Linked DNA regions of Kluyveromyces lactis. The protein of the gene in region 2 purifies or fractionates together with the protein of the main gene of each other region. This does not show direct contact. Links are inferred from orthologs where the notes say so. Each region holds a gene or a part of one and is shown on either strand. Other genes may lie near its edges. The genes, in order: TFG2, RPB5, RTR1, SPT4, SET2 and IWR1.

The links.
Region 1: the proteins of RPB5 (region 2) and TFG2 purify together in Saccharomyces cerevisiae (affinity purification with mass spectrometry; 5 studies listed by BioGRID, with this or other methods). This does not show direct contact. The link is inferred for Kluyveromyces lactis from reciprocal best matches to the Saccharomyces cerevisiae genes RPB5 and TFG2.
Region 3: the proteins of RPB5 (region 2) and RTR1 purify together in Saccharomyces cerevisiae (affinity purification with mass spectrometry; 3 studies listed by BioGRID). This does not show direct contact. The link is inferred for Kluyveromyces lactis from reciprocal best matches to the Saccharomyces cerevisiae genes RPB5 and RTR1.
Region 4: the proteins of RPB5 (region 2) and SPT4 purify together in Saccharomyces cerevisiae (affinity purification with mass spectrometry; 3 studies listed by BioGRID). This does not show direct contact. The link is inferred for Kluyveromyces lactis from reciprocal best matches to the Saccharomyces cerevisiae genes RPB5 and SPT4.
Region 5: the proteins of RPB5 (region 2) and SET2 purify together in Saccharomyces cerevisiae (affinity purification with mass spectrometry; 3 studies listed by BioGRID). This does not show direct contact. The link is inferred for Kluyveromyces lactis from reciprocal best matches to the Saccharomyces cerevisiae genes RPB5 and SET2.
Region 6: the proteins of RPB5 (region 2) and IWR1 purify together in Saccharomyces cerevisiae (affinity purification with mass spectrometry; 4 studies listed by BioGRID). This does not show direct contact. The link is inferred for Kluyveromyces lactis from reciprocal best matches to the Saccharomyces cerevisiae genes RPB5 and IWR1.

What each region holds. Positions count from the first base shown.
Region 1 is NC_006039.1:1,605,785-1,611,237, reverse strand, and holds TFG2 (transcription factor IIF subunit TFG2), read right to left. Parts: upstream 2,517-5,453; coding exon 1,350-2,516; downstream 1-1,349. Other genes in the region: RPL38 (60S ribosomal protein eL38), read right to left, coding at 460-696; mRNA splicing protein PRP18, read left to right, coding at 2,770-3,228; KLLA0_C18161g (uncharacterized protein), read left to right, coding at 3,270-3,971; ECT1 (ethanolamine-phosphate cytidylyltransferase), read left to right, coding at 4,119-5,045; KLLA0_C18117g (uncharacterized protein), read right to left, coding at 5,226-5,450. UniProt on the Saccharomyces cerevisiae protein: TFIIF is a general transcription initiation factor that binds to RNA polymerase II.
Region 2 is NC_006042.1:1,966,734-1,971,569, reverse strand, and holds RPB5 (DNA-directed RNA polymerase core subunit RPB5), read right to left. Parts: upstream 1,993-4,836; coding exon 1,345-1,992; downstream 1-1,344. Other genes in the region: RIB7 (2,5-diamino-6-(ribosylamino)-4(3H)-pyrimidinone 5'-phosphate reductase), read left to right, coding at 325-1,083; DUF1 (Duf1p), read right to left, coding at 2,534-4,836. UniProt on the Saccharomyces cerevisiae protein: DNA-dependent RNA polymerases catalyze the transcription of DNA into RNA using the four ribonucleoside triphosphates as substrates.
Region 3 is NC_006042.1:1,171,794-1,176,490, reverse strand, and holds RTR1 (RNA polymerase II subunit B1 CTD phosphatase RTR1), read right to left. Parts: upstream 2,428-4,697; coding exon 1,792-2,427; downstream 1-1,791. Other genes in the region: RRG1 (Rrg1p), read left to right, coding at 537-1,679; EMP65 (Emp65p), read left to right, coding at 2,685-4,259; KLLA0_F12628g (NAD-dependent succinate-semialdehyde dehydrogenase), read left to right, coding at 4,581-4,697. UniProt on the Saccharomyces cerevisiae protein: RNA polymerase II subunit B1 C-terminal domain (CTD) phosphatase that dephosphorylates 'Ser-5' of the CTD and regulates RNA polymerase II during the transition from 'Ser-5' to 'Ser-2' phosphorylation.
Region 4 is NC_006038.1:704,251-708,784, reverse strand, and holds SPT4 (transcription elongation factor SPT4), read right to left. Parts: upstream 2,230-4,534; coding exon 1,921-2,229; downstream 1-1,920. Other genes in the region: KLLA0_B08041g (uncharacterized protein), read left to right, coding at 136-405; membrane insertase COX18, read right to left, coding at 532-1,473; glutathione-disulfide reductase GRX8, read left to right, coding at 2,789-3,124; VHT1 (Vht1p), read right to left, coding at 3,207-4,534.
Region 5 is NC_006037.1:593,925-600,318, forward strand, and holds SET2 (histone methyltransferase SET2), read right to left. Parts: upstream 4,195-6,394; coding exon 2,086-4,194; downstream 1-2,085. Other genes in the region: TOH1 (Toh1p), read right to left, coding at 1-462; ASG7 (Asg7p), read right to left, coding at 948-1,640; LST4 (Lst4p), read right to left, coding at 4,637-6,394. UniProt on the Saccharomyces cerevisiae protein: Histone methyltransferase that trimethylates histone H3 'Lys-36' forming H3K36me3. Involved in transcription elongation as well as in transcription repression.
Region 6 is NC_006041.1:813,934-819,350, forward strand, and holds IWR1 (Iwr1p), read right to left. Parts: upstream 2,701-5,417; coding exon 1,573-2,700; downstream 1-1,572. Other genes in the region: NUP84 (Nup84p), read left to right, coding at 1-410; RPL9A (60S ribosomal protein uL6), read right to left, coding at 543-1,118; KLLA0_E09153g (short-chain dehydrogenase/reductase), read left to right, coding at 2,928-3,770; ATG20 (Atg20p), read right to left, coding at 3,896-5,417. UniProt on the Saccharomyces cerevisiae protein: Directs RNA polymerase II nuclear import. Binds RNA polymerase II in the active center cleft between the two largest subunits in the cytoplasm.

The DNA.
Region 1 (5,453 bases), on a different chromosome or scaffold from region 2:
CGATATAACAGAGCTTGTACTAATAATACCAGGGAAAATTCATACTGTGTATAACCTCAGTCATTTTTCCTTGTGAAGCCCAAAATAAAACTTTAAAAGCTCGCAAAGACAATTAACACAGGTAAAAAAAACCTACCACTGGACGCTTAATACAAGCTGTATTATCATCATTAGAGTAGTAATCTTATCGTCTCATCAATGAAAGAATGCAGATAAAAAGTATGCGTTTATTATAACTTATTTGACGAGTTTGTTCATTTCAATCTGGATGGTTCGTTCCTCAGGTAAAAATTGCCAGTACAAAGTGCTGGTAATTAAATCAATTCAAATTCAATTTAAATTCAATTCAATAAGAGTACTTACCCCACACCATGGGTTGAAACAGACGATTGGTGGAATTTCCAAAAAAAACAGTTGATATGGTATTAAAGAAAGTATTAGTGTCTCTCTAGACTACCCTTACAACTTGTTAACGTTGAAAGTTGGTGGCAAAGATTGCAACAATTTCTTGGCCTTACCAGCATCGTTAACAATCAAGGTGTACAAGTATCTGGAACCTCTTAGCTTGAACTTGGTTTGTCTGAAAGCCTTACCGTTCTTGTTCAACTTCTTGTTGATCTTGACGGTAGCAGAGTTGACATCTTGTCTTCTGATCAATTCCAAGAATTCCTTAATATCAGCGATTTCCTTAGCCATTTTTGTTAATGTACTTCCTAGTTGTTGATGCTTGGAGATTCACAGAAACTATTAAGACAAAAGAGTTAATAAACTGTAATTAAAAGTTATAAAGAATACTAAACAAGAACCGATAATACAATGTAAAAAACGCTAAACATCAAAAAAACACTAAATGGACATATACAAAACACCACTATTAACGACAAATGTTAAAATCTAAAACGTTAAAACTGTCGAAAGTTGTTCGAAACTAAACGTTTACTGGCTTGCCAATTGCACAATACTCAATGAGCACAGTCGATGAGATTGGTGAAAAGTTTAGTTGATGGTGTGTGGGTGTCAGGAGGTTGGCTTTTAGAGATTTTTTGGGTTTCTTTGAGTATTATACTACCCAATTGAGAATTTTCTCGTTTTGTATCCGGATGTGTGGGTTTTTATTTTTCAGTGTTTGGAGTGTATGGGTGTTATTTTAACAATGGACAGTCCTTTGTTAATCACGTGATTTGAATTCTTTAATCCTACTATTGGTTCAGGTCACAAGAATACATCACAGGACTAGACATGCCAGCATCATGAATAAGATATCCATTCATTTACTAGATAACCGGTGGGGCATGATTATGTGTATATATATATATATATATATATATATATACTATGTTTGAAGGGTTCTACAACACATCCTCCATTTCCACGTCTTCCAAGTCTTCCTCCTCTTGCTCGTTCTCCTGTTGTTGTTGTTGATCAAATTGGTCTTGAATCTGCTGCTGTTGTTCTGGATCAGCGTGTTGTGCCAATTCACCAAGCGTAGCAGCTCTTTCAGCTTCCTTCAACTTTTTATATTCCGATTTTAAAGTATATTTCAAGGCATACGGACCCTTTTTCACAAGCATAGCAACTTGATCTAGCGATTCCTTTAAATATGCTTCTGGTTGTCTTGTTCTCTCCTTCAAACCTTTCAAGGACCAATAATCGTATTCATCAAACAACTTGAACAATAGATCCAAAAGTTCCTTCTTTGGCAAACGGATAGCCCTTGCGTTGTTCTTCTTTTCCTTTCCAACTTTTAAGAACTTGGAAGTGTCGGATCTCATCGACATACCGGCGTTACTCATAGTGACACCAGGAGTTTGGTCAAGCACCGTAACCGTTGGTTTGTGGATGTTTCTAACGATTTGTCTTCTATGTTCCACAATTGTATGGTAATTTGGATCGTCTATCGAGGGCATCACTTGACATTCGTGGTACACTTTCCCCGTCACTGCAGTTTTCTTCGGAATAGTCTTCACGTACGGGATGTATCTATCTCTACCGTCCCTATCCGTCATGACACGGTGCTGAAACCTTCTCTTGTTGTACTTACGCTTCATCTGCTGCTGTTTTTTCTTCATCTCTTCCTCTCTTTCTTGTTTCCTTATGTATGCCTGTCTTTGCAACTCGGGGTTCGACTCCAATTCCTTGGCAAACTGCTGATATTTCTTCAAATTTTGTTCAGTGAATACGTACTCGTTCGTGACTTCTTTCTTGGTCAACTCTAAGTCATATTTGTGCGGTATGTCCTTGTTGTCCTCATCCTCATTCAACAACAACTGGATCGAATGGTCCGCATTATTAATCCTAACTTTACCCAATTCTTGTCCATGCAATGCAGTACGGTTTCTCCAATTTTCAGCTAAGAACTTAGGCAGACGTACAAGCCAAATCTTCTTCCTGGCGTTGGATAGATCCAAGTCTAACGATTCCTCATAAACCTTTTTCTCATTGTTCTCAATATCGTTACCATCGAACGCCTCTTCACCGACTTCTTCCACCAAATCTTTACCACTGGATTCAGACATGATTAGATTTTTAACTATTGGCTTGGATATATGAGACCTAACAGGTACCTCTATCCGGATTCTCTGCTTGCTTTTGTCTTCCTTCCGCCTTCCTGTTGTGGCTTTAAGTTGTTAAAGTTGTTTCAATTATCAATTCGATAAATCTTTAAAACTGACAAAAACAGCTAGCCATCAACGATAAAATAAACAGAAACTAACCAAGTGGATTGGCACCTCTGCCTACGGTGTATTTACGTTCATCAAAGCAGGCGTCATGAGTCATGCAGTCGAGGAAAGGTACAACAGTCAACAGAAACCGTTGAACGAGAGCTGCAATGAGTATATACACGAGATACTTAAAGAATGGGAAACCCAAGAATCTGAATATACTGTCGTGCCTTTGAAACGGGTTAAGGTGGCATTGTTCCCACTTCTAGTGGCATTAAGGAAACAGGAGCTCGGTCAATTGCAATTATCCCAACTGGCAAGAGTATTAGATGCCATTGTAGATGAAGATTACGTGCGAGCAAAGCAAGAATACCTTACTTTAAGTATAGGTAAAGGGAAGTTTCCGATCGGGTTAACCAACGTTGGTATACACGAGAGGAAACAGCAGTTGCAAGGCAGCAAGGCACAAACACAAGAGAACATGGTTCTTGATGACTGGTGCGTCAACATCAAACGGCTTGTCAATTTCAAGCAATGGACATCTTCACAGCGAAGAACCGCATGATTTTAAATATAGAATTAATTTCAAACCACTCTGATGGCTACATGTTACATAACCTCGGAACTGGAACAGAAACAAAAAAAGGAAGCGGTAAAGGGCAATCAAGCGACGAGAAGATGGGTGGTGTAGTCACTAGTATGGCTGAGTCTAGTGCTCAGGACTATGGTATGGAAAAGTATGATGATTTCATGGGATCAAAGTTTCAACCGGTGAAGGATCCATTCTATTCGGAACTAAGTAATGGGAAAAGGGTTCGAAGGAAGTTGCCTGCATATTGCACGAAACAGGAAACCAAGACATGGAAACGGTTACAGAACCGAGCATGGTACGACGACCGATGCTTCCTCGGGTGTGGATGTATCTGGATTGATTGGGGCATCGGTTGGGCCACGGTACTTTCGTTGCTTCCTGTGATCGGACCGATCTTAATGTACTGGGTACACAGCTCTACGGTGGAATACGCAAGGAAACGGTACAATTTGCCCAACGATCTGTTGGTGAAGATGCATGCAAACATAGTGTTTGATCTATTAATAACGTTACCCCCGATAATTGGCACGTTTTTGACCTGGATGAACGCATGTTCTACTAGAAATGTCGCAATGGTGTACAATTACGTATGTAAGGATTCGTGGCAGAGGTATCTACAGCAGAACCCAACACAAAGTGCACCGGTTGGGTTCCAACCGATGCCAATGGCTGCGAACCCACAAGTCCCAGCCCAAGCAGTCCACCATCAGGTATAAAAACCTTTGTGCTTGGGACAATCCGTTTAACAGTGTGTATTTCTATATAAAAGAAAATGATAACGCATATGAAATTGAAGACAACTACAGGCAAACCTCATATAAGGTAAAGAGTTAAAGCCATTGCTCCCCGCTAAACCTCAAGCCATGGTTGAATTGTATGAAAATAGGGTATGGATCGATGGGTGTTTTGATTTCACACACCACGGTCATTCTGGAGCCATTCTTCAGGCAAGAAGAACGATTCCAAAAGATCAACGTGATGGATCACTTCTCATCTGCGGAGTTCACAACGACGCAGATATCGAACATCACAAGGGTGGTAAGCCTGTCATTCACGAACAAGAACGGTATTACCATACAGAGAGCAACAAATGGTGCGACCAAGTGGTGAAAGACGCACCTTACGTGACAGAACCCGAGGTTCTTGATTCGTACGGTTGTAAATACGTTGTTCATGGGGACGATATAACCACGGATGCAAACGGTGAAGATTGTTACCAGCAGATGAAGGACAACGGCCGTTTCAAAGTGGTGAAACGTACCGAGGGTGTAAGTACCACCGAGATCATTGATAGAATACTGAGGAATGTCCCCCAGACAAACCAGCAAAAAGCAAGTGTCGATCGTGAGTTGCTGACCATGTACAGTACAGATAAGTCAGGATACGAGCCCTGGAGTTGGGTATTTGGCCAAAATTTCGAGGATGTGATAGTAGAAGGAACTGGCAGTGTCTCTGATCAGAATTGGGTTGTAGTAGAGGAACCAGATGGGTTTGATCTGTTCAATGTGGGACATATCCAAGAGTTACAGAAATGGAAAGAAGCAGGCAAAAGAGTGTGCTGCAGCATGTATACCGACAAAGACGTGTTCATGACATTGGAGGAGAGGACTTTAAGCGTGCTTAGCTGCAACGTGGTGGACGGTGTGCTTCTTTATCCTGTGTCACGTGACACAACGACTGCCAAAACTATCACCACATCTCTCAAAGACAACATCATACAAAGAATTAATCACGATAGGGATCATTATATTGAAAGAAATATAAAAAAGGGCATTACGTATGAGAACTAGCATATATAGGAAGAACGAATGAACAAAAGGCAGCAGCAGGCAACTTCCAGAGTCGCCTTGTCTCATCAGTCGTAACAACCCAAAACCAGCTTCTCAAATCATCTAAAAACATGAAAAAAGTCTATCAATTACACGGCACCACCGAGTAAATGGAGACGAGAGTGATCATAACATAACTCTCTACCGTTTCTGAGAGTTAGAACCTCTGCGTTGTTTGTTGAAAGCAGGTTTAATCTCACCCATATCGATCAAATCTTCTATCTCGTCCCCTGCTTTACCCCAATTACCTTTACCATAACCGTCTTTCTTCACAGAGTTTGGGGAAACACCGTAGTGCCCATTATGAGTGAAATAGTGGGATTCAGCCTTAGCTTCGCGAACGGTCCATTTGTTAGTTCTAGCCATTTT
Region 2 (4,836 bases):
CGAGTACCTGTGATCTATTTTGGCAAGGCAACGTTGGCTGAGTGCTAGTATTTGTGCTGTTGAAATAATATTGACTCAGAGCTTTTGAGAGTTCGTTTTAATTTATCGGACTGAGATCACTTTGAATTATCCGGAAAAGTGTTATCTCAACACAGAGTTTCATAATTCATAGATATATTTCAGTGTAAGAGTATTAAAACAACCCGAAATTGGCTTCAAGTTTTAGAAGATAAAAACTTCATTCTTTTATTTTCTGCTTAAGAACTGGGAACATCACTGCCCAATCACAACTGAACGCGTCAGCTATATACATCGACAAAAGCCATGCCTATACAACCATTGAAAAAGGAGTTGGTTTCCTTCTTAGAACCATACATGCCGGAAAATGCTGGCGTTTTGGGCGAACAGGAAAAGCCGTACGTTATTTTAACTTATGCGCAATCGTTGGATGCTCGTATTGCGAAGATCAAAGGGACTAGAACTATTATCTCTCATCAAGAAACTAATACAATGACCCATTACCTCCGTTACAAGTTTGACGGTATCATGTTGGGTTGTGGTACTGTCTTGGTTGATGATCCCGGTTTGAACTGTAAATGGTGGCCAGATGATGAGCCAAAACCAGAACATTTTGCTGAACATTCTCCAAGGCCCATAATTTTAGATCCAAACGGGAAATGGAAGTTTGAGGGTTCCAAGATGAAAACTTTGTTTGATTCTGGTGATGGTAAAGCACCAATTGTAGTCGTGAAAAAGCTTCCAGAAGTTGTAGAAGAGAACGTTGACTATTTAGTGATGCAAACTAATTTTACAGGTAAAGTGGACTGGCACGATTTGTTCATCCAATTGAAATCTCAATTCGGATTAAAATCCATCATGGTTGAAGGTGGTGGGATTGTTATCAATGATTTGCTACAGAGACCACACCTTATCGATGCCCTGGTCATCACCGTTGGTGCCACCTTCTTGGGTAGTGAGGGTGTTGAAGTGTCTCCTCTTATTGAAATTAATTTGAAAGATATCTCCTGGTGGAAGGGAACAAGGGATAGCGTGTTATGTTCACGTCTTGTGAGCCATTCCTGATCTTTACCTGTTTTCCTAAAAATTCGAATTCTTATATCAATGAACTCTCTTAATTCAGACATGCTATGTTCAAAACGTGATTAATCATTTCCTTAAATAATTGAAAAAAGAATCGTAATTAGATTATGATATCCCCTGATGGGTTCTCATACGAAGAGTGTGTTTAAGGCCCTATTAGTTTCTCTTGCTCTAATTTGGTCTATTATTATACACACGCATTTACTTTACTTAGGGTTGGGGAATGGCTCTTTTTAATTGCTCTTATAAACAGATTCTGTAACTTGCGTAACGTCCAGAAGTTTCAGACTTTCTAATAATTTTTATAACCTCGCCTCTTTTCAAACCAAGGTATAATGCTACTGGGTCCATTCTTTGGATTCTAGGCAATTGAGATTCCTTTAATCTATATCTTTTTAATAATTCCTTCTTTTCAGCCTCACTTAACCTGATATGCTTTGGGACTAGTTCGTGATGTGTAATATTGACAACCAAAGATGCTTCTGGGAAAGTCTCGATGACTGCTGGTGCTGCAGTTGGTAAAATCTTGTTTGCACTTGGAGTAATACCACTTTGATAGATGAATATACCAGTTTGGAAGTTCTTTTCCGTAATATGAACCACAAAATTCTTCATCGTCTTCACACCAACAGATGCTTCATCACAGAATTCCACCCATAATGAACCCATCTCAGGAAATTTTTCTATTGATTCTTCGGTTGGATTGGACTGGAAAGACATCATCTTACGTTGTGGCTTGCCCATAGAATCACAGTATTTAGCCTTAAAATCTTCTAAACTCAAATCTATTTCCTCCTGGGTAATGAAATATCCACGGTCCCTAACCATTTCCTTCACCGTTTTAAAAGCTCTCCATAGCCTGGAAATGTTTCTCTCCTGCTCTTGATCCATTGTTACAAAAATTGTGCGTCACTTGCCTTTGATATCTTATGAAACTAACTTTTTCCGCTTGAAGATTAGTTCGTATTAAATTCTAAAATGCACAAACAAGTACTAAGAACTCAATTATCGATATGCACAAACAAGTACTAAGAACTCAATTATCGATATGCAAACTAATCTTACCCCTTAATTTCAACCGGTACAAGGACTATTCGGCTACCTAACTTCAATCTTTTCTTAAATTTCAATCAACAAATTAATGGATTTGTTTCTCATCGCTTTCTAAATTTTGGAAAATTTTGGCTGAAAAGAAAAAGAAAAACTTCAACAAACCTTCGAAATTTCAATGCGATGAAAGAAGGAAACAGAGCCAAACCATCAAACTCGTCCTTCATGATTTCAGTCACGTGCCTGTCTTGTGTTGGTATGGAATGCTCTGAGTCAAGGGCGGCAGGTGTAGTTCTATGTTTGTATATATGTCTATATTTAGTTATATATATATATATTGATAAGCCTGGGTGAGAACTTAGTCTCACAGTCTCTCTTAATTTTAAGTCGGTTTACGTCTATATTCAAGAACAATGTCTGTGTTTGATTTCCAGTATAAAGTGCGTATAGCACTCAGGGTGATATCGTTTTCTAGTACTGTTCCTTTGCACAAGATTTCTAACCATTCGCTTGGATCTTCTTTGTTTTTCATCTCAGGTGTCTTTGATTCGAATCTATCCACTATGTAAGTCTTGATCTTTTTTGCCTTTATCATATTTGCAGCTGTTAATCTAACATTGCTATCGTTAATCTTCGGTAGCATTAAGGGTGATTCAGGTGGTTTAGATTTTTTGTGGAACCCTGATCTTTTATGTTCTACTACTAGTCTTTCAGCCTCTGGCGATTGTTGCGTTTCCTCCGATAAATGAGCCTCGTCCTTCCAAGGCTGGATGATGAATGTGATTTTTGGGTACGTCTTAATGACTTTATCCTCTTTGAAAAGAATCTTTCCAAGCCATATCGGGAGATGTCTTTCTAATGATTCATAAGTATGGTAGTTATCGATCAAGTCGTTTGCCGTATATGTAGGGGGTGGGAGATATGTGGAAAATGCAATAGTTTCCCCTGTGGACCCCTCTTTCCAATGGTTGACCGTGAGAATGCATCCACTCTTGATTTGTATCACGGGTCTAGTTGAGTCTCTGATGAACAAAGTCTCGGGGATCCGCCTCCCAAACTTCATGAACGTTGATGAGGAGTTTGGAGCCTGTTTCAAATAAGCGTGATAAACTTCTTCGATATATTCGTTCAAGAAAAGTCCTGGCTTTCGTTCAGACAGATCTTTGGAAAAACTCTTTGAATTGAATTTGAAGTTCACTTCACCATTCCCAGTAGAAGAGATACTATGAAGGTCATCGATGCTGTTAGTTTCTAGTTTTACCCTCGATGATCTGTTATGGAAACCAAATGTGCTTGAAGGTGTAGCAGATCTCTCGATACTTTGTTCAGTAACAGACCTTGTCAAAGTGAGGTTCGCCGGTTTCGATGAAGTAGGTAGAGCAGTTGCTGGGCCAGGTAACATCATTCCCATCTCATCTTCGCTTTCTTCGATTATGCCGTGATATGTATGTGGGACGTCAGGTATACCATTGGGGGTGTTGGGGGCCGAACTTTGCGGGGTAGTGTTATTTGATTGAGTGAACTTGGTAAATATAGATAATCGTCTTTTCTCCTTGATACTTTTGTTGTCTTTATGTTGATCAGGGTTCGTATGGTCAGAGGCCATTGAGTTGTGTCTTCTTAATAGATTTGGAGTAGATGGAGGAGTTTGCTTCTTTGTGGAAGAAATATCTTCTCTGAATTTCTTATCCTTCGCCAATTCATAATCAATAAAACCATGTAATAATGAATTGACAGCTATACGACCCAAATTGTATCTTTCGTCCAAATTAATTTCGTCAACTTTATCCTCGTTGACTATTACATAATCGGTGAGGGCACTTCCGTATACTTCGGTATTCAGGAAACGTTCATTGATCTTTACAAAAAGAATGCCTCGTTTTATCGAAACGGAGCACCAGTGCTGTAAGACTTCTTTGGGATTCAGTTTTCTGACCACCTCATCGAAATTACCTTCGTCTCGGCTGATTTTTTCAACCAGCTCACAAGAAACAATATCCCACTTCTCCAACTCACCGGATGTATTTTCCGTGATGACATGTCTGCGGTTTGTCAACAAAGAACACCGCACTAGTGCATGGCCACCTTCTATAACCGTGAGCTTCTTACTCAACAAGTTCAACTTGTTTAGATCCGAATTTCCTGATCTGGAGAACCACAACACATCTTCTATAATGGCCATTGCCAGAATGCCACCTGTTTTTGTGTCGCAATCGCTTGGCTTGTAGATAACAGATATCTGATTACCTTGAAGTTGCGTTATATTACCCATGCAGTCGCCAAGAAATAAATCTTTAGAAAGCGTTCCTTCTACCGACCATATTGCGTGCGACAACTGTTTGGTCCAAAGGCATTTGCCACTTTCAACATTCCAAAGTTTGATCTCTCCATCTGCGCTTGTACTAAGAACGGTTGTTTCATCATCTAAAAGCTTCAAAGTCTTTAAGTTCACACCAGCTGCGTCATCTATGGTTCTTATCACACTGTAACTATTTATATCGTACCAGCTTAAACGGCCTTCGTTATCTCCAAAGATAATGACGTCCTTCGTAGCAGTCAGGCAATAAATAGACCCTGCATCATGATGCGTGGTGTTATCGAATTTTCCAAGTAATTTAGCTTCAACGTCTTCCTCGTTCTCCACCTCAAAAAGATCCAGTTCCCAGATCTTTAGCTTCTTATCCA
Region 3 (4,697 bases), about 800 kb from region 2:
CTCACTGTTACTTTGAATATAGCGGAGATTGTTATGGTTTTGCATCATTATGGAACATAAAGAGACTTTAGAAGTGATAAAATGAGAAAAGGAGTTCGAGGATAGAGATAATGCTCTACTAGTCATTCAACCGAAACTTGGCAACCACAATGTTTACAAATCAAACAATATTGTGTGTAGCTTGGTAGTAGAATTTGTTGCTGATTTGTTGCTTAAAGTACACAGGAGGCAAAAAAAAAAAATTAAAAAGAAAATGATTTCGCCCAGGATCGAACTGGGGACGTTCTGCGTGTTAAGCAGATGCCATAACCGACTAGACCACGAAACCACTTTGCTGTAAAATGACGTCTCACACGGCACCATACGAAGCATGTATAGCACGCTGATCTGTATGTTTTCAAAGTTTATGACTATTGTCAAGATGAGATGAGATGCGATGACATGAATAGATGAGTAGTTGAAAACAGGAAGAATTCAAGGTACATCCTACTCAATCTTATCAAATTGATGAAGCTCTACAAAGCAGAATTATATCAATGGTACGACCATTTGGAGAGATAGGAAGTCATAGGAAACACGTATTGGAATGGTACAGATATTCATTACGAAACATTAGGGCCAACGTACCCACTGATAATCTCCAGATTGAGCTTTGGAACACATTGAGACAAGCAGTACGACGTAACAGAAATCATAAAGCTGGCTGGTACGTACGTGGATTATTGGAGGATCTCTCTCATCTGAATAAGTATATTGTCGGCGATGATATAATCAAGCTAGTTGCTCTAAAGAACAAATACACAGAGCAGATCGAGCCTGCTCCAGAACCGTTGCAGCAAGCGAACAAACCAATTTCTGGTGTGGTGGTAACTGAAAATATGGGGGATGAGAGTCGAAGGGAAAAAAAGAAGCGATTAGCACCTATTCCTGGTGATGGTGATTTATACCGCTACCTTCTTAGATATTATAAAATATATGGTCCGACTAAAACGATACCTCGTAAACATATCGACGAGCTACTCAGACCTCTTGCAATCCACGAGAGATACTGTAAAATTTTGTACAGGATTGAGTACCGCATTGCCAAGGGCCCCCCTAAAGTTTCTATTAACTACACCAACGCTGGCCAATCCCGAATTTGGTTCATACGATCTCCATTCAATAGGAAGGCACGCCAGTCTAAGAAATTGACAGGAATCATAATTAAGGCACGGCTTAGAGCTCAAGATAATCTCGATAGATTTAGGGAGTGTGAATCCAAACTTTTCTATGCATTTCAAGAAGCACAATGGGAATATACATTGATTCACAAACAACCATGTTCACGAAAATTCAATGACGTCGTGACACAGATAAAGAGTGGTAAGTCCAATGACATCCCTGCAGTGTTCATCGACTGGATAAAACCAATCCTCGAAGATATGGACATTCTCAACCGGATAAATGCTAATACACAGCGTAAATTCACCGAAAGTAGAGATCACTTAATTGACGGAAAACAATATGAATATTATAAACAACTGAACCAAAGACTTTATAAAAAAAGGCTTGAACGATTCTTGGGCTTGAAAGCAGAGTTACCAACGACAAACCCATTTACCGAAGAGAAAAATTTAGGTGCTTTGCTTGTTAAATGGAGGTTCCTTAGACCAGATCAATTAGTGAAAGTTAAATCGTAAATAAAACTATTTTATGTATGACTATATAATGCAGGATTGTCCATATATTTTGAGTTATAGAGTCAAAATGCTCTACCTCAAATATGTTTGTACTTGTCATCATTCTGTCATTTCATCTATCTCGTCCTAAATCTCCAATGATATTTGGCTCGTTGATCTCTACGATCTTAATATCAGCTAACATGTCACTGATATCCCTTTCCATTTCCTCTCTACTATCATCGTCCGCGAGTTTCAAATCAGTCATACCACGAATCATCTGCTTAACATCAGACTCTCTAGCTAGTACTTCTTCGAGCAATTGTATCTCACTAGGTGGCTCATAATCGTCAAGATGTACACCGACCCTAGCAAACAAAGCCTCGTCTGAGAGCTGAAACTGGTAAAACTGTGAACATCTAAAATGAGCCTTAGTACAGTATTCTGTAAGGTATGCATATGGGTTATTTTGTCTTAAGAAATTGGTCATCTGTACATCTGCGAAGGGATCACGTACTCTCGCCTGGCTTTTGCTACAGAGTGGATATCCACAACGCTTCACCAAGTTCCTTTCTTGGACTAGATCCGCATAATCCTGTTTGGTAAGGAACCTTGAAATGTATTTCATCGTCCTTGCATCTTTCACGTCTTTTGTAATCAATAAGTCTATTAAATTGATACTTATAGTTTCCACTTCCCTTATGGTCAATTGTCGATGGTTTGTATAGGGTTTTAATACAACCTCTTTGATTTCTTCAATGGTAGCCATTGCTATAGTCTAATTATTTTGGTAAATTATTTCACGGTCGTAGTTGGTCAAGCAGCTGTATGAGGTCCCTTATTCATGTGCTTTTCTTAAGTTTACCTTCTTTACTTTGGCACTATCAACCCTTCGATGTGATTTAAGCAAGGACTTTATTTTAATTCAATGTAGATCGAATTCGAGCAGACAACAACAACAGAAGAAAGAAATATCCATGACGAAGTAAGGTCCTTAGCACTAACCGGTCAGTTGTGCCTCAACAAATGAGTTCACAGGATTCTGAAGCCCACCTCAAAAGGCGAAAGGCGAGGTCTAAGGAAAGCAGTTCTGGTGCTGGGAGAAGGGTATCGGTTGAACAAGACGTGAATACGGTGTCATCATCGATAAAGAACTTTATATACCAGGAGATTCTTCCCCAAACAGCCAAGGTATTCGAAGAGGAACCATGTGATCAGAGTGAGAAGTCTGTTGAATATGATCTGGAGCAGATTGCGAACATACTGAGGGTACCATTCCAAGTCGAGCAATTCTTTGTCTTTGCGATATTGACTTGTTTGAACTGCTTCTTGTATTACTTTACCATTATACCACTTAGGGTATTCCATGTATTAGTGGTGAAACGAGATGGTCCTAAAAGAATACGACAAGAGCTTCTTACTACTGCGATGATTCTTGGACCCTGTTCGATATTGAATGTCCTTGACACCTCAAGAATATATCATAAAATTAAGGGCCAAAATGCTATTAAACTATACATGATATTTCAGGTTCTTGAGATGACAGAAAAGCTCTTATCAAGTGTTGGCCTTGATCTATATTCAATTATCATGCTCAAGAAGAGTGCCAAACATAAGACAGAGATGGTAATGCTATATATTGCATGTTGTTTATGTTTAAGTTTCCACGCGTTGATATACATCTACCAGATTCTTGCCATGAACGTTGCGGTAAACTCGTATTCTAACTCCTTATGGACGCTACTGTTGTCAATGCAGTTTTCAGAGTTAAAATCTGCAGTTTTCAAGAGAATTGATAAAGAAGGATTGTTCCAATTGACTATGGCTGACGTCGTGGAAAGATTCCAGTTGATCGTATTTCTAACGGTCATTGCAGTGAGAAACTTTATCGTAGCAAGAAAGAGCTTGCGCGATGTTTTACCACACTCATGGAATGTTCATTCTACACAGTCCTTGATAGTTGGTATATTTATAGGGCCGATTGTCACAGTAATTGGAAGTGAATTGATAGTGGATTGGATCAAGCACGCATATATTATCAAATTCAACAGAATCAGAGCGCATATCTATGAAAGGTATTTGCAAATTCTTTCCAAGGACAACCTATCCAACAGTATCCAATTCCAAAAGAGGTTAGGTTTGCCGTTCCCGCCACTAATAGTAGCCTTCCTAGTACTGGTATGGCCTGCCATCAGGCAAACGATCAAGAATAATATCATCTGGTCCACTGTTCTGATAATATTTGGATTCCTATGGGCTCTACTCACAAAGCTAACACTTCAAGCAATACTGTTGAGATGGACGTTACATATCCAAAACAAACAAGCCAGCTTGCACCCAGATCCTTTGTATATCAATGGCCATCTCTCTGCTGGAAGAGGAATGATGGATGAGGATGCCCGCAAAATGACACACTCTAGCCAGACAAGAACTTATTCACCAACAATTACACCACCAGGATCGCCAAAACTCGCTGCTTTTGAAAAGAAGGCAAGCATCCCACCTAGCCTCAACGAGCAAAGAACCAAGAGAGATCTGAAGCATCCTAAATCGCTAGAGTCCGTTGAAAGATACAAGATGGTATCAAAGAGGATTTGGTAATATTTAGGTGCCTTAAGCAAAGGGCATAGCAAAATGTAGTGATTATACAGCAATATATAGACCGAGCATAGCAAGATTAAATAAGAATTATCAGAATTTGATGCATGCTGATGTTAACTTCGGCTCCGTCTCCTCTTTCCAACCTTAAATAGTGTATCATCTCTACACTACATAATGGATATTATATAACATTTAATATGACGCACTTTTTGCTATTAAGAGCAAGCATGAAGCAATAAGAGCAGAACTTTGTATATAAACGGCGATCCTAATGGCTAACAAATTGTCAAGTCGCTGAGTGTGTTATTTCCAAGAGTTAAGATGTTCCGCAACTCGAATACCCTAAGAACGCTAAACCTATTAAGAAAGATGTCTTCTAAAATTGAGAACGATTATTTGATACAAACCAAGGCCTTTATCAACGGTAAATGGACAGAA
Region 4 (4,534 bases), on a different chromosome or scaffold from region 2:
ATATCAGATTCATCTTATAACTAACATCTCATCTCATCTCATCTCATCATCTCAGACATAAGTTTGTAAGGTGACAGCATTTAGAGGCTACATCAGTACCAGTAATTTGATCCCACACCAGTCGAGTATTTGAATATGCCGCAAAAAGCTTTGAAAGTGACAAAGAAGGCTAAGGACCCACGCAGGGTTACTAAGAAACAAAAGAACTTAAAGAAAGCAGCTCCACTACAGATCAAATCAAAGAAACAATCTCTTCAGCATTTGAAAAAATTGAACAAGACATACTCTATTACAGAATCCACTGAAAGACTAATATCAAGTCGTGTTGGTCATCTCGAGCTATTGAAGGGTACCCGTAAGGAGTTGGCAAAGCAAGAAAAGAAGCTAGAGGGCAAGAAGAAATAAGGACCCATCTTGCTGTGAAGCTTCGAACAAAGACCACTGTTTGCTAAACAGAAATATTAACTATGTACAGTGAAAGTTTTATAAACGATTAAATTAACTTATATGTGTTAAAAGATAGAAGCTCCATTATCTCTGATATGGCCATAGCAAATCGAGAATTCTGTTCTGAATCAACGAATAAACCTGAGATGTGATCCAATATAGTGAAAGTAAGACCGAAGCCTGCGTGGAGACCCCAATTAGAAAAATTGTGCTTAGTCTAGTCGCTGTGAGGATACTGTTTACCGTCTGTGACGTTCTCGATTGTGTGTCAGTAGCAGTGGTAATGCCAGAAGTTCCTACTGCAGTTGCTTGCATCGTCTTACCGTTATACTCAACATTGATCATCGAAACGGTTCCTAAAATGATGGGTATTAGCATTGGTGCTGCGTCCAAGGGCAAACTTAGGTCTAAAGAACCTATATGAGTTAACCAACTTGTCTCTGAAAGATCTTGTAATACATGTGCGTGAGGCATATTTGTGTCCACTAACCTACTATCAGTAAGCTTCCTAAGCCCCATTGACATAGTCACCCATAGAGGGACTTGAACTAACGGTAGAACACTATTCTTCCACATCTGTACGTTGTATTTTTTGAATAAAACTTTTTGTCTCTTACGCATTTCTTTCAACGATAACATCGTTATTTGATCTGGCGTTAACTGCCTTTTTCCTCTTTGAAGCGCTCCGACCGTTTCCTCTTTAGTTTGTATTGCACTACCAGAACTTGTCAATTCTTCGTCATTAGCCTTCGCAGTCATCGAAGCCAATCTTAGCTTCACCACAGGGGGAACACTTTGCACAACTTTCCGAAGCTCTTGCTGCTTCACTATACGTTTCCTTTGCCATATACTTAGTGGTAAAGTGAACACCGTTCTCAATGCAAAAGTGGCAGTTGGTATGAGTACTAACCATGGTACTCCAGAGGCATCGTGTAACTGTACAAAACTATCAGCAATAGCTTGCAATGATCCAAATTGTCTCGAACCCTTCGCAAAATGTACGGCAGGTAATCTTCGAAGTAACATAGTTGATGTAAAACCCCCAAGATACCGATCCAATCTCAATCTGGACTCTTTACTTCACCTTTCAAGGCGAGCAAAGATGTACTGCATTTGATAGAAAATTGTAGTTTAATGGATGATCTTTGAAATGACAAAAAATGTTGAAATGATCAAAAATCATAGTGGACATGGGGTACAACCACCAATTTTACGCCAGATCCTTTAGATATTCGGTAACATAGATATAGATAGATTGATACAGCGATTGCGCTTTTCAATTCAACTTTTTTTTTGGTTTAATAGATATAGTACAGAACATTTGATATATTTCGAAGGATAAATATACATGTAATAAGGGAGCCACCTTATAGGATGCAAGAGGAAATTAATAAATGGGGGCACCAAAACGGCCCCATGACGATTTCAACATAAAAAAACTAAAACAGACAAGTGCTTAACAAGTGCTTAAAATTAATCAACTTGACTTCCATCTCTCGGTTTATAGTGAGGCAAAAGTTCCGTTACCTCTATTGGTAAACGACCATCAATTTTGACAGCGTACATTCCTGGAATATAACTGTCAATACTCATCCATCTCGCTACCCACGACCTGCTAGGTTTACACATACCAACCAAACCTTCAAAAGATGGGGAAGTACATTCAACAGCCGAAACACCTGCCTCTTCAAAGATCGATTGACAGTTCGGGCACCCATTCCTATTGAATTCAGCAGTCGATTGCACCAGTCCACATAACATACAAGCTCTGTCCGTTGACATTTCCCCACTCTTTTCGATGATATGTTCTTATATATATTGAGGCTTTGATTCCAGCTCTAATCACAACGTATGAACTGGTTCTTACCCATAAAAGATCGCATTAACTTACCTAATGTGAGTATGTAGCTTGATGCTTACAGCTTTTTCAAATTGGAAAACTGAGAATCGATGCTCGTTGATAAAGATCATAATCAGGGTAACAACAAATCTGTATAATACCCCAAACAGAGTAAAATGCCACATACAGGGAACGAAACTACATCATGTTATACCCTTTACTAGATGCAACTGTTCGCACGCGTTAGAGACATACTACCGTATTTCAATTCTTAGTGGCATCAACGGTGTCTTTTCTGTGGGAATGGCGGAGTTTCAGCACGGAAAAACTGTGGATGGTCTTAATGAATATTTAAAGGTCAGATTTTCAAAAGAAACTTGAAGATTTCAACCTTTCTGTTATATAAGATGAGGGTCATCCCCCAAATGTGAACAGAATGTAGCTTATTCTCGGTAAAGTAATTCTCATATCATCAGGAAAGAACTAGTCAATTTACAGAGGATGTCTAAGTATATTGCTATCGCCCGTGAAGTAGTTTCTTCTCACAAGTTTGTTCAATTGAGTGCGGGATGGTGTCCTGATTGTGTATATTCCAATTCCATATGGAAGAAATTCGGCGTTACGGACAAGATCTTCAATTATGATATTGCTGAAGTGACTAACAGTAGATCCGAATGGAATGAAATCAGAGATGCATTTCAAAAGGCCACTGGCTCAAGAAACTTGCCAACTTTGTACGTTGATGGTAAGGTTTGGGGTACTGAATCAGAGTTAGCGAGATTTGAAAGGAATGGTACTTTGAAAGAAGAGTTACAGAAGATCGGACTGGTAGATTAGAATATTAGAAGAGAATAATATCTATTATTATATACGAGGGAGAGGAATGAAGTATGTGGTTACTAGTGCTCTTCCGTTTAGATTAGTTATATACACGTTCAGGTTCATTAGTTTCGCTCTTTAAATAATAGTACTCTCCCTCTTTAACTAATTCAGATTCAACGAAACTAGGTATTGGTTCACTCATCTTGGAGTTGTACAAGATGATACCGTTGTCCAATGCATGTCTACGTTCTTGTCTCTTGTAGAAGTACAACACGACGAATGTCCATAGACCATAAATAGCACCGAAGACAAGTGAGACTGTATAACCGACTTTGAATCTTGGGGATTGTTCAGTTTTCCAGGCTAGAGAAGGAATCCATGCATAAGTGGATTGTGAGATGGAATAAATCGCAATCCAAGTAATGGCTTTAACTTGCGGATCGAATCTTAAGAAATCATTGATGAATGACCATAGACATGGGGATGGAGCCACAGACCAATAAGTCATCAAGAAAGCAAACCATTTGGCACCAGAAGACACATCCCATTTAATTAGGATAGCACAGGAGATGCAGTTCATCATAGCTGCAAAGACCATGAAGAACCATTTACAACGGAAGAAATCAGCACCAAAGGCACAGATAGCGACGAAAGCGAAACCTAGACATGCCGGTAGGACAGAAAGGTTATTAACTTGTACAGTGCTGTAAGATGGAATAGAATCTAACCACAATGTGTAAGAACCACTGAAGGCTGTCATATTATTCCAAGAACAAGTATCGAACACAACTAGAACCCAAAAAGTCGGAGTGCAAAACACTTTTTTCCATAACTTTAAGGACAGCAAAGATGGCAATTGGGACTTTTGAACACCATCTTTAATTTGGTTTCTTAAATTCCTACGTCTAGCAATGACGATTTCTTCATCGGTCAAGAACAAAGAGTAACATTTAGATGGGATGCCTGGAATAACAAAGAATCCAATGAAAGCAGTTGGCAATGAAATTGCCATAGAATCAATCAAGAACATCCATCTCCAACCTGCATGGCCCAAAACACCGTTCAAACTTTTGAAAATTCTGGCCTGTAATAGACCGGATGTCACACCACCTAACAATTGACCAAAGAAGAAAAGACACACTCTAGAAGAGATTTCATCTGGGGCGTACCAGGAACCTAAGACGTATTGAGAAACAGGGTAGTAAGCAGCACCAAAAGCACTCAATAGGAAACGGTAAGCTCTCAATGAAGCCAAGTTGTTTGCTCTAAAGCAAGCAAATGTGAACCAAGTCCAACCCATGTCCATAATAGGCAAAATAATATGAGCTGGGAATCTAGGTAACACGTACATGAATGGCAATTGGAAGACAATGGCACCAACGTTACTGATAACAGAAGTGTTAATATAATCGTTACCCTTCATAT
Region 5 (6,394 bases), on a different chromosome or scaffold from region 2:
GTCATCAGCCTTACCGGTACCGTTCTCACTTGCAAAAGTCAAAGCTTTACCTAGACATGGCGAAGAATCACCAGCACCGGTTAAAAACGTCACATTTTCGGCTGTCTGGCTTGTTGAATCATAGTATGCTTCTCTGGACCACGAGGTAGAACTCGAATCATTGATATCAAATGATGGCGACGTATAAAACGCAAATTTCGACAGAGATAGCGGACCTCTCAAGTGGACAGACAGTGCTTCATTCAATGGAGCGTTGTCGCCACTAAACCAGACTCGATCTCCTACAGTACAGGAACAACTATCCTCTTCTGCATCCGAAATCTTCTTTACGTTAGTATATGAACCGGTGAACCCTACGTTACCGAATTCGATAAGGTTATACGATTGTACCTGATTTGAACTTTGAGCAGCTACAGTTGCCACTGCAAATAATGAAGCTAATATATCCAGTGCCTGTACCATTTTGTATTTAAGAAGCTGATAGATCGGTTCTAATCTGTTCTAAGCTAATCCTATCTTGACTTGTTCCGGCACAACGTAGATCTGTACAATAATAGCGTCAAACGTGAGAAATGTTACTCTATCAAAGAATACTGATGCGTACAGGATATCTCCGGTTATATACCAATATTAATTAAATGACGGCAAGTAAATTTATTATGTCGGACGGCCCTTAAGTGGTCAGGATACAGGTCTGGAGTTTATTAATAGATGCCGGCAATTCTCAACGGCAGCCTTTTTTTTCATGCAAAGCCCTTTTCTCTCGAGAGCGAAAAAATGTGTTTCTTTTAGTACGAAGAATTATAGGAGTAAAAAAGAGAAGCAGAACTAGCAACCTTCCATCAGGGCTATGCGCGTGCAGCGGTCGTTAGCTTGCCCTCATAAGCGTTTGATATGCTGTAAGTTTCTTTTTTCTTTTGTATAATGCGGACGAGTAATGCATATGTTCATTCTCGGTACGATGCCGGTTGGCTGTTAGTCTTAACGATAACTACTATCATTATAATGGATATTGTGTACCCTGTCATTGCACATAAGCTACGCAGAAACCAGTTCCTGATAGTTCTTGCATTAACGTCATGATTTTTCATTAGTTCAGAAGCGATTTCTTTTAGACACTGAGCTGTCACTATGGATTTGGTACCACCGTCTTCCGTCTCAAATGATGAGGAGTCTGTTGCACCCTCGTCCAGGGTAGTAGCGCTTTCCGAAAACTGGTTTTTTTCATCACTGCCCTTCGTTGGATCAGGCAAAGAGAGATGTTGATACGTAGTCAATGGTACGGGATCTGGTAGTTTTAAAGTAAGCATGGAAAATGTCAATGGGTTGTTAATAGCGTAGAAGTCCTTGGTAATACTTTTGTTTAGTGATGTGACACTGCGCTGTTTCCATTGTTGGCATTCATATTCGGTATATAAGGTTTCAGAGTCAAGTTCCGGGACCCTAACATTGTGGTCGATTATCCAGTTGGCATAAAGGTACAACATTAAGTTAAGGATCCATAGCACGGGTAAAACAAAACCCATGATGAAGAAACGAACCATGTAAAATTCTACATTTTTTCCTATCTTGCAACTTCCACATTCACATATGTAGTTCTTTGCTACAGAATCATAAAAAGTCGAACCAAAAGTACTCATATTGTCCGAATAGTATGAATTTTATTACTGCCTAAATTTAAATTTAACACGGCAGAGAGACGTTTAGATATGCATTTAAATAGTGATATCTTAACGAAATCATCTCAAGATTACATTGGCTTACCGGCAGCTTATATACTTGGGTTTCCAGCGCGTTGTAAAATAACTCTCTTTCGACGTCCATGTTTTTTCTTTAAACCTTCATGTGTCAAGTTGATAATTGTCAAAGAATCTTCCTATTATGGAAATTACAAAGACAAGAAACTCGATAACATACGGCGCTTTCAGGGACGAATCAAACTATATACATGCGCATAAGGGGTACGGTAGCCTGTGCTATGAGAGGACTGCCCCCCTTTCTTCTGACTTCTTGGCCTTTGAAAGTTTCTATCATGTAACGTATGACATGGAATTGATACAAAAGTGTTTGCAATGTTACTTGATATCAACGTTTCTTCTCTTTCTTTTCTTTCATCTTGGCAACCAATCGATCCATATACTGCATCGAAAACGTTTTAACTTTAGCTCTTTTCTCTTTAGAGAGTTCTTCAGGTGGTGATCTAGAACTGTCTTTCTTCAATTCCTTTTGGGCAAGAGACTTGACAATGTTTCTAGCAGATTCCTTGAGAACATCTTTGCCCACGTCCTTTTGGTAATTTTTAATTAAGTTTGGAACATGTTGAGCGAAGAACTTGACCCATTTATTTTCGATAGCATTGACATGACTAGCTTGTTTCTTTACTTTTTTCCTTTCTTCATCCTCTTGTTGCTGTTTCAATTTCTGAAGCCTTTCAAGTTCTTTCTGTTTATTGGCCTCCTCGATGATTCTCTCCAATTCGCTCTTCTTTTGGGTTTCTTGATCCAATTTTGCTTTTAAAGTCTCTTGCTCCATTAATTTCCTTAGTTCTAACTCCTTTTGTTCCCACTCGATTCTCGATTTTTTCCTTTTCTCGTATTCTTCTGGAGATAGCGTTCTTTTCTGCTGCATCTGGCCATAAGTAGGCGTGGGTATGTACTTAACAGACCCACTATACCGACTGGTATTTGAAGAAGGTGTTGCTGATCTCGATTTAGGATCAGAAACTCCAGAAAGGTTATGGCTTGAGTTCGATCTATAAGCAGAATCAGTTGGAGGATTGGCTTGTTTGATCTGCCTTTGAGCATTATAATACACTGGTCTGCCATTCTCATGAATGATTTCCCAACCGATAGGTAAACGTATCCGCCGTAAATCTATAACTTTGCTATTTTCTGAAATATCTTTCTTGGAGATTCTGGTGTAAGTTTCATATTTGGACCATTTCTCTAATAGATCTTCACATATCACTTCAAATTTAGGAGTATTCTTTAATTGTTCGACCTTCTTATCAATTCCAGAATGAATTATACCATTTTTAGTTGTCTTGGGTAAAACTAACAAGAAGTTTAAAATCTTCCATATAATGTCTGGCTTATCTTCAAACATTGTGATAAGTCTACTAAAGATCAAGTAACCATGCAATTTGATGAACTGATAATGCATTGCTTCATCTTCAGTCAAAGTGATCCTTTCAAGTAGCTTTTCTGCAATGAAGGCGTCATCTATCTGTAATAATACACTCATCACACGATTAACATCTTCAGTCTTCGTACAGGGTTCTAGTGATAAAGAATTAACGAAGTCGACGTTAACCGTTGTGGTGTCACTTTTAGCTATTTTCTCACCCTTGGCCTTCATCATATTGATCCATTTTTTCTCCATGGACGGCCTTATACCTAAGGCATCTGCAAAACTTTGAGGCAATAGCGATGCCGCGTCAGTTTGAGTCTTACCACCAAGGAATCCAATACAGTTTGGTTCCTCGCAGTAACATGGCTGTGCATTGGCACCGTACCTATCAACGTTGTAATCAAACGTCACTTCTTCTCCCTTGCTGATGTGTCTGTTGGCAAAAATACCCATCTTTAATTTCCCGTTAACTACCCATTTATTAACGTATGCATTAGGATTACAAGAATGGTTGCAGAATCTGGCAATACACCCCTTTAGCGTAGCATCAATGAACTGTCCGGTCTGCAACATCATAAAGTAGAAGTGCTTAAATCCCATTTGGTCATATTTCACCATCCGGTTACGAAACTCTTCCTCCTGTATTACTTCTCCAATATATTCATAAATAAAGTTGTGTGGTTCAATATCAGAATTGGCACGGACGCCGAAACCTTTCCGCTCCGTCTTGAAAACAGATATATCTGCATACGCTTTCTTCTGGAATCTTTGGTTCTGACAGTCAGTACCGCACGAGTGTTTGCAAAGACCGTTCACACACTCAATTAAAGTGGCTCTATTTATACAATCAGAATCCTCACCGCACGCATGGTTTAAACCGTCCCGAAATTCCTCAAAACAGTCACATTCCATAAACTCATGCTTAGAATCACCCAAGTTTTTAGGCGTATACGTACATACATCCAGCTCAGCGTACGTTTTCTTTGCTTCAGAAGTCATATCCGGAACATCGAGAAACAACTTCGGTTGCCTCGTATTAACAATTCCATTACCGCTTTCCGTCATAATATTAACAAACAAAAAAATACAATTGATAATCACACAGAACTTAATATGAGTGATAGCCCTTCTGAAGATGTTATATTAGATCAAATAATCACACCAATGTTCTATTCTCTATCTTTCGTTCCTTGTCTTCCCCAAGTATGCTTTAATTTTTTTTTCCAATTCTATATACTATGCTACAACAAAACAGCACTGTAGATTTTATCCCTGCCTAAAGCCTAAGTCCCCCGACTGAACAATTCTCAAAAGATCTGACAACCAAAAACAGCAATCTAATACATATAAACCTAGTGATTAATCAACATTTTCCAACTGAATAAAGCTTTATAGGGCATCAGAGACCCGAACCATTAGCTTTCTCAAAAATTTTGGGTAGCCTTGAAAGCTTGATTTTCATCACAACGTATATAGTGACGTGACACGTGATCCAAACTCTCTAAACCTATGTTGAGGCACACGTTACTATATCGTTGAAGAGGGAAACTAATGCCTCGTTGTCGTTATTGCATTCCATGAGTTTCTTTAAATGCTGGTCTGTCGTTTCTATGCCTGAGAGCATTGCCCTCGAGACGGGACCCACTTTCCCATTTTGCAATATCTTCTTTGTTCTCTGTATGAATCTGTTATTTGTGTCTCTCACGATAGTGACTTGTTTGATCTCTCTTGATCTGAGCGAGATGAGTAACGTTGATGTGGATTTATCTTTTTTGCATGGATCTTGATCTGCGTACGTTAAATCTCTCTTCATCGAATGGATCACCTTGTTTTCGGATTCTGTGGTGATCTGGCACGCTTGTAGTTGGAACCATTGGTTGTAGTGTGGAGTGTAGGACGTGAACCTTCGTAATAGTTCTTGATTTTGATTATTGCGCTGTTTTCTGGGAGAAGCCATATTAACTTCTACAATTTCGCCATGCTTTTCGTTCGAGACCGTTGTGTCATAGCTTGGTGGATCTATTACTAGATCTGCGAATGCGTCGTTTAAAGAGTCCTCGTCGATGAGTCGATTCACGGTTCGTTTCATGTCAACGTCGTATATTTCAGACTGTAAATGCGTTCTTCTTTCCTTTTCTGTGGTGTAAGAAGATATTGGTGTGGGTATTCTTTTCTCTGGTCTTGGCTGATCCCTTGCAATTGGTGACGGGGAAAACCATGGGTATTCTTCATATTCTGCAATGGTAGGTGATGGCTGAGGTGTTACACGTTGTGAACCGTTGATGTTGCCCAGCACTGCTTGTTGATGGAAGGAGGTACTACTGCTGTTGCGGTGCAAAATTGGAGGTACTTCATGCGAGGATTCGTTGGATCTGGATGACGGTGATTGTGCGACTTTCTTGAACCAAGATCCATAACTGCCGTATGCACTATTTAACGATGATGATAGGTATTGGACCGAAGAGGCTCCACTTTTCAGCGATGAAGGTTGAATGAAAGTTTGTACCCCTGTTTCATCGGAAGAAACGCTGGTAACGCTAAATGTCGGGTCTCTTTTGATTCTTGGTATCTCCCAACCTTTATTGGTTTCTGTTATGCTGCTGTTTGAAGGTTTCAATTCGAATGGGAAATCGGAAGCCCCACTCATGTTTGACATTTTACGCCCAGCCGGAGATGGACAACCTTGGGAATTGATGCTTTTATGTAAAGTCCCACGGAAATGTGGACCAAGGAATGCAGTAAGGATAAATATGAGCCTGTTGGCAACGTTCATATTACCGGTAAGTATAACGATTCTTGTATTCGAGTTTTCCTTCAAAAGCGAAGCGAAATCATACCGTAGTTTTGCCAGCAAAATAGGTAAAAAACGAACTCTGGGTCCATCCTTCAATTCAATCCAATTGGTTACATATTTCACCCATGTCTTGATGTAAGGTATTGAATCCATAGGGTAAAGGAATAATCGTGGGGTATCAGAATACCCGGATAATAACGGTATAATTTTACGTTGGAAAGTTTGTAAGACGGCAGCAACCTCGATACAGTTTCTGGCTTTCCAATCATGGGGTAAGAATTGTGTGTCATTCTTCGCTAGATATTTCAACAACGTATTCTCACATTGATCCAAGAACGACGATATATGAGGCCAACATTCAGTCAACACGGGCAGAACGTCGTCGGTGACACAACAACTTATAGCGATTCTCAACGTCGATTTCTCATTTAAATAGAAAATCCTCGTGAATAGAACAATGTTTGCACTCTT
Region 6 (5,417 bases), on a different chromosome or scaffold from region 2:
TATTATCTACCTTCAAAAAGCAAGAAGAGTGGGTAAAATCATCGCAACTTTTCAATACCGAGTCGAACTTGCGATCCCTAATTAAGCAATTCAAAGGTTTCTCGAACACAATCATAAAGTTAGTAACGACATTTTTGGTAGACCTGATAGACAATGAAGAAGTGAATGATTCAGACGTTCTGTATGAAATACGGGCCTTATACACTCCATTTTTGATTATGGAGTTGCACAACAATTTGATTTCCGCATCGGAGAACTTGAAGGTATCTACATTCGTTCAAGAAGCCATTGACCTCTCCATTTTGGTTGCCAACGAAACTGATAAGATATATCTGTTATTCCAAAGTAACGGCAAACTTACTACATATCTACAGATGGTTGCAAAGGCATCCGCATTATTTGGAAGGTAACTTAGAAACAGAAGTTGGAGTTTTTAAGCAGTACATATAATATTAATTATGTATATATAAACATATATGTAAGCGAAACCAATCGAAAAAAAATAATAGCAACGACATTAATTAATTGTAATTGAGATTAGTTTATTCTTCTTCCTCGATTAGACCCTTTTCGGAAACGTAGATACCATCCAAGAACTTACGGATATCCTTGTTTCTGACACGACAGATTTGTTGGATGTCAGCAGCGTTTTGGGAAACGTTTTCGACGGAGTTACCAGACAAGACAATTTCGTCCTTTTGGTTGGTGGAGAAGTCAACAGAAACACCATCTCTGACTGGAACTTCTCTGACCTTCTTGTCACCCAAGAAGTTTCTGATTTCGATGAACTTAGCACCGTCCTTTTCAATGACGTTAACGTTGATTGGGAAATGCGCGTAAACGTATCTCAACTTGTACTTGTAACCCTTGGTAACACCAGTGATCAAGTTGGAAATCAAAGACTTGACAGTTCTCAAAGCAGCAACGTGCTTTCTGTCACCGTTGTGAACGGTGATCTTGATTTGTCTGTTAGAGACCTTGGTGAAGGTAACATCGATGTGCTTCAAGTTCTTAGTCAAAACACCTCTTGGACCAGTAACCTTGATGTTTCTGGATCTGATTTGGACGGTAACACCTTCTGGGACATCTAGGACTTGGTCAGTTTGAATGTACTTCATCTTGTCTTGTTGTATTCGCTCACAGCCTATCTGAAAACCAAAACCAAAACAAAGCAAATGCACTCAACTGTAATACTGTAATACTGTAATTAACGCCTGTTTCAACAAACAATGCAGGAGCCAAGTATAACTGGGAATGCTTGCACATCATCTTTGTTAACCTAGAGCTTTGCAATTGGTGAAAGTTGGTCAATCTTGCAGACGCAGGAAATGAGACTTCAGAAATTTTTCACCAAACACCCAGACATTTCACAGTATCAACGACTTTTTCTGTGGAACCTAGCGGTTGTAGTTCTCATCTCAAAAAAAAAAAAACCGCAAAAATTCCTCTTTGGAACACCTGTACATAATAGAATAACAGTCCCGCAGTTTTTCAATGATCCATTCCCCATCCCAAAGAATATCTGACTCACAACAAGGGAATTGTGTCAGACATCCAAAACGACCAAATTAATCACACTTTATCTATCATCTTTTGCAGCTTGCCGAATATACGATCTCTGTGTATAGCATCTTCATCGTCTTTGTCAGTTGGGAAGAAGTAATTTCTCTTGAATGTCTGATCATCTACGTCCATTCCAGTATCGTGATCGTCATCAGCCTCTGGCTTCAAATTGACAAAGTCACCGTCGTATTTACCGTTGTCATTATCACTATCGGCATGGTCATCGTCGTCGTAGTCAAAGTCGACGTAATTATTGGCATTCAACGAGCTCAAAAGATTGGAAGATTCTCCGTAATTTTGAAATAATGCATCAAACTCATCACCATTATCATTGGTGGTTTCGTTAGCCTGCTCACCGTCCACATTATAATTTTGATCCAGTTCATCATTTAATTCGTCAAGGTATACTATATCTTCTGAATCCGTCCTATCTTCGTCACTTCCAATAAAAATTGATCTGTCATCGTCTTCATCTTCCGGATAATCGTTCTGATAATAATCTTCCTCATTTGAATCCTCATCGTCAGTCAACATTGTTTTCTCTGGATCTACTTCTTCTTCTGGGATCATGTCCCCATTATGCTCAACGATTCTGATGTATCCGATAGTACTCTTATCGAAAACGAACTCCTCCTCATCTTCTGGTATGGTTTGTTTCACATACACATCGTAAACGTAATCTGTAGGAGGCAAGATCGGAGCTGTATATGATTTTGAATGTTTTCGACTTGCCTTGCGTTTCTTGTGCTCTGGTGAGTCCTTCTCCTTTATCTTAAGATAGTCATTTAGCATTTCCGCAATGCTATCCGGTAGCTCTTCTTGCAATTCTGACGCTGCCTGGCGCTCCCGTTCCCTTTCAAGAACGTAAACCATTTTTTTATCATTGTTCTCATTACTCAATTTCAATAGTGGACTGTTAACATCGGGAGTCTCAAGCTCTACAGTCTTAGATAGCTTGAACACGAACTTCCCTTTTTTTGCGTTTCTCTCCTCTTCTAAGAGCAAAGCCTGTACGGAATCCTCATCCCGACGTCTTTTCACTCTGATGTACTCCACGCCAGATATGCTTTTACTCATGTCAGATATATTTGCTTCTGTAGGTAGAACAGAGTCGTTTCTGCTATGTGATTCCCTCATTAATCCATTGGTCTTGGATCAAATGATTCTTATTCTAAGTTGAAAAGGTAAATTTGGTTTTCCTAGACAAAATGATTCTGAGCAAAACATGAAGAAAGTTGGAAAATTGACGCTAAGAACGTCAATTAGTGACAGTAAAGAAAACGATGGCAATTAGAGTTGGTATAACTTTCATTGGTCATAGTATAGAATAGTTTTTATCAGAGAAAGGGTCTCTGATTGTAGCTATGTTTTGGAATAGCTTAAACTATTTTGCGTTGGATCAAAAAGGTACTCAATATGTTAGAGTTCTTGAAGATTTAGTTACCTCTTTTGTGGGTATACCATTGTGTCCACAAAAGGACATTGTTGTAGTTGCTGGGGGCTCGAGAGGTATTGGGTCACATCTCGTTACAATGTTTGATTCCTTGGGCTATAAGACTATTCTCATTGATAAAAGATACCCATTAAATCTTATTGAACCTCATCGAGTGTCATTTTACAAGTGCGATATTTCTGACTTTGAATATACAAGATTAATCTTGGATGATATCTCAGTAAGATTTGGTCAAATCACTGTATTTATCAATGCGGTTTCCTTGAAAAGTTTTACTGACGCCGAAGTGGGGAAAGGTGTGAGTTTGAGAAAGTTAATGAGAACAGTGTATGCGGGCAGCATGCATATTATTCAGCATATTTTACCTAAAATGATAGCGTACGATCGCGGTTATATAATTGACATTGCTTCAACGGAAGGCTTATACACTACGGAAAATAAGTCTTCTTATGGTGCCATACAAGCAACGAAGTTTCAATTACTCCAACTGATTGAACAGACGTTGAAAGAGCAATATAAGAAGAATTTTTTGATCAGCAACGGCCGAGTTCGCTGCTTACTTTTGATTTTTGGTAAAGCTCTTAATTCTAAACCGCACCAGGATATGACGACGGCTAAAACTGTTTTCAGTGCTATCTTTCATAATAGACAAGGTGTTCAGGGATACTCGATGAGGACGAATTTCAAATTAGCTCTAAGAGAATTGGATTGGCAATGGTATCAGATGTTCAAATATTTATCCCCCTTCCTATAAAACTTTTGCCGTTTATGAATATCCGTTCCTTAATGCCGCTCTTGTTGAGAATCTAAACGCGGGAGGGTGGAATTCATATATGTAAAATGTATATATTCAAAAAAATCTGTTAATTCAAAAGCTGATTATGCTTCCTGAATGCGATTATGTAGCTCTTTCCATATTTCAAGATTTCTAGTGGCATTCTCCTTCATATATTTCGCATAATTCTTAAAGATTTGAGTCAATTCTTCGTCACGTTCTTTAATGAAGTTTGGTAATTCAGTATTCTTTAGAGTTTCAGAAATAACGACGAGATCACTAGTAGCAACTTTCAATGTTTCATCTAGTTGTATCAACTCTTTCTCTAAGGATCTTGCAGCTGCTGCAGGATCTTGTTCCTGATAACTGACAGAGTCCTTAATTATGATTGCAAGTTGGGTAAACTTATTTATGAATTTTCCAGAGTAGCTTTGTGGTCCTGCAGGGTTTTCTAGATTCACTGCTCCATTTGTACCAAGCTCTTCCTTTACCATATTGTCTATTTGCTTGTGGTCGTTTTCTTGCTGTTGGAACTTGATGAGTTGACCTCGCTTGTAAAGTATTGTCCTTTCTAAGATATCTTTTTGGATCAACTTTAACCTTCTATAATGAATTAAATCCCGCACAGCAGTGGCCATGTGGGCACATTCACTAAGAGGCTCATTAATGTTGTAATGCAAATTTCCGACAAGAGTTTCCAGAATTTCTTGCAGAGTCCCATATGCATCACTGGAGTGTGAAAGTAATTCTGCTAGTCCACTCTCGTTCTTTGTTTCGTCAGTTGACAATTGTGCAAACTCAGAGCTGATTCCTTTCAAATCTTCCCGTAAATAGTTCACCTCCTTGGTAGTAGCTCTTGAGTATTTATACAAACCAGAATGTATCAATTGTTCGTAATTTTTGAATTCCGCTTCAATTTTAGTGAACTCATCAGCGTCCGAAGCTGAATGATTGTCCTTTGATGCCAGCAGTTGTGTTGATGATGACGGTACTGGCAAATATGAATGTGCTTTTGTAGTGTTTGTAGGGTCTATTGGATTGCACTGAAGAACACTTTTCGGTAATGATGAGATAGTAAGAGAGCTTGTGATTAGATCGTTCCAATTTTTATTGTTCGGATCCAAAAAGTCGTACACGATAGAAGTCTTTGTTATTTCCTGGTTTTTCAAGAGTCTGTTCAAGAAACTTGTAAGCATCCTGATTCTGTGCCGTATGAGCTTCTCATCATTCGTGGTAACCGGTCCGTTAATTACTGATAGCGAAAGATCTACTGAGTCTCCGCTTTCCGTTGGTAATAGGTAACTTGATTTAGAATATGTCATTGCTTTTCCGTAACTCTTGAGTGATTGCTTTTCAGGAATTGGCGGGATCAAACTTATTGGAAATAACTTAACTAACACTTTCCGCAAACTCTCAAAATCGCTGTAACGCCGCTTCACAATTGAATCACCATATTTGATAGCGTAAGCGATATATGTTCTTCCCTGTCCTTCGGATACTTTACTTGCCTCGAGTATTTGGGCCCTTTTCTTACCTTCTTTTGTCATCCCGCTCGCGTTATGGTTTAAGGTATTATATGGCACATCTGGCGAACTATCCTTACTCGTAGCTACTGAGCTCCTACGC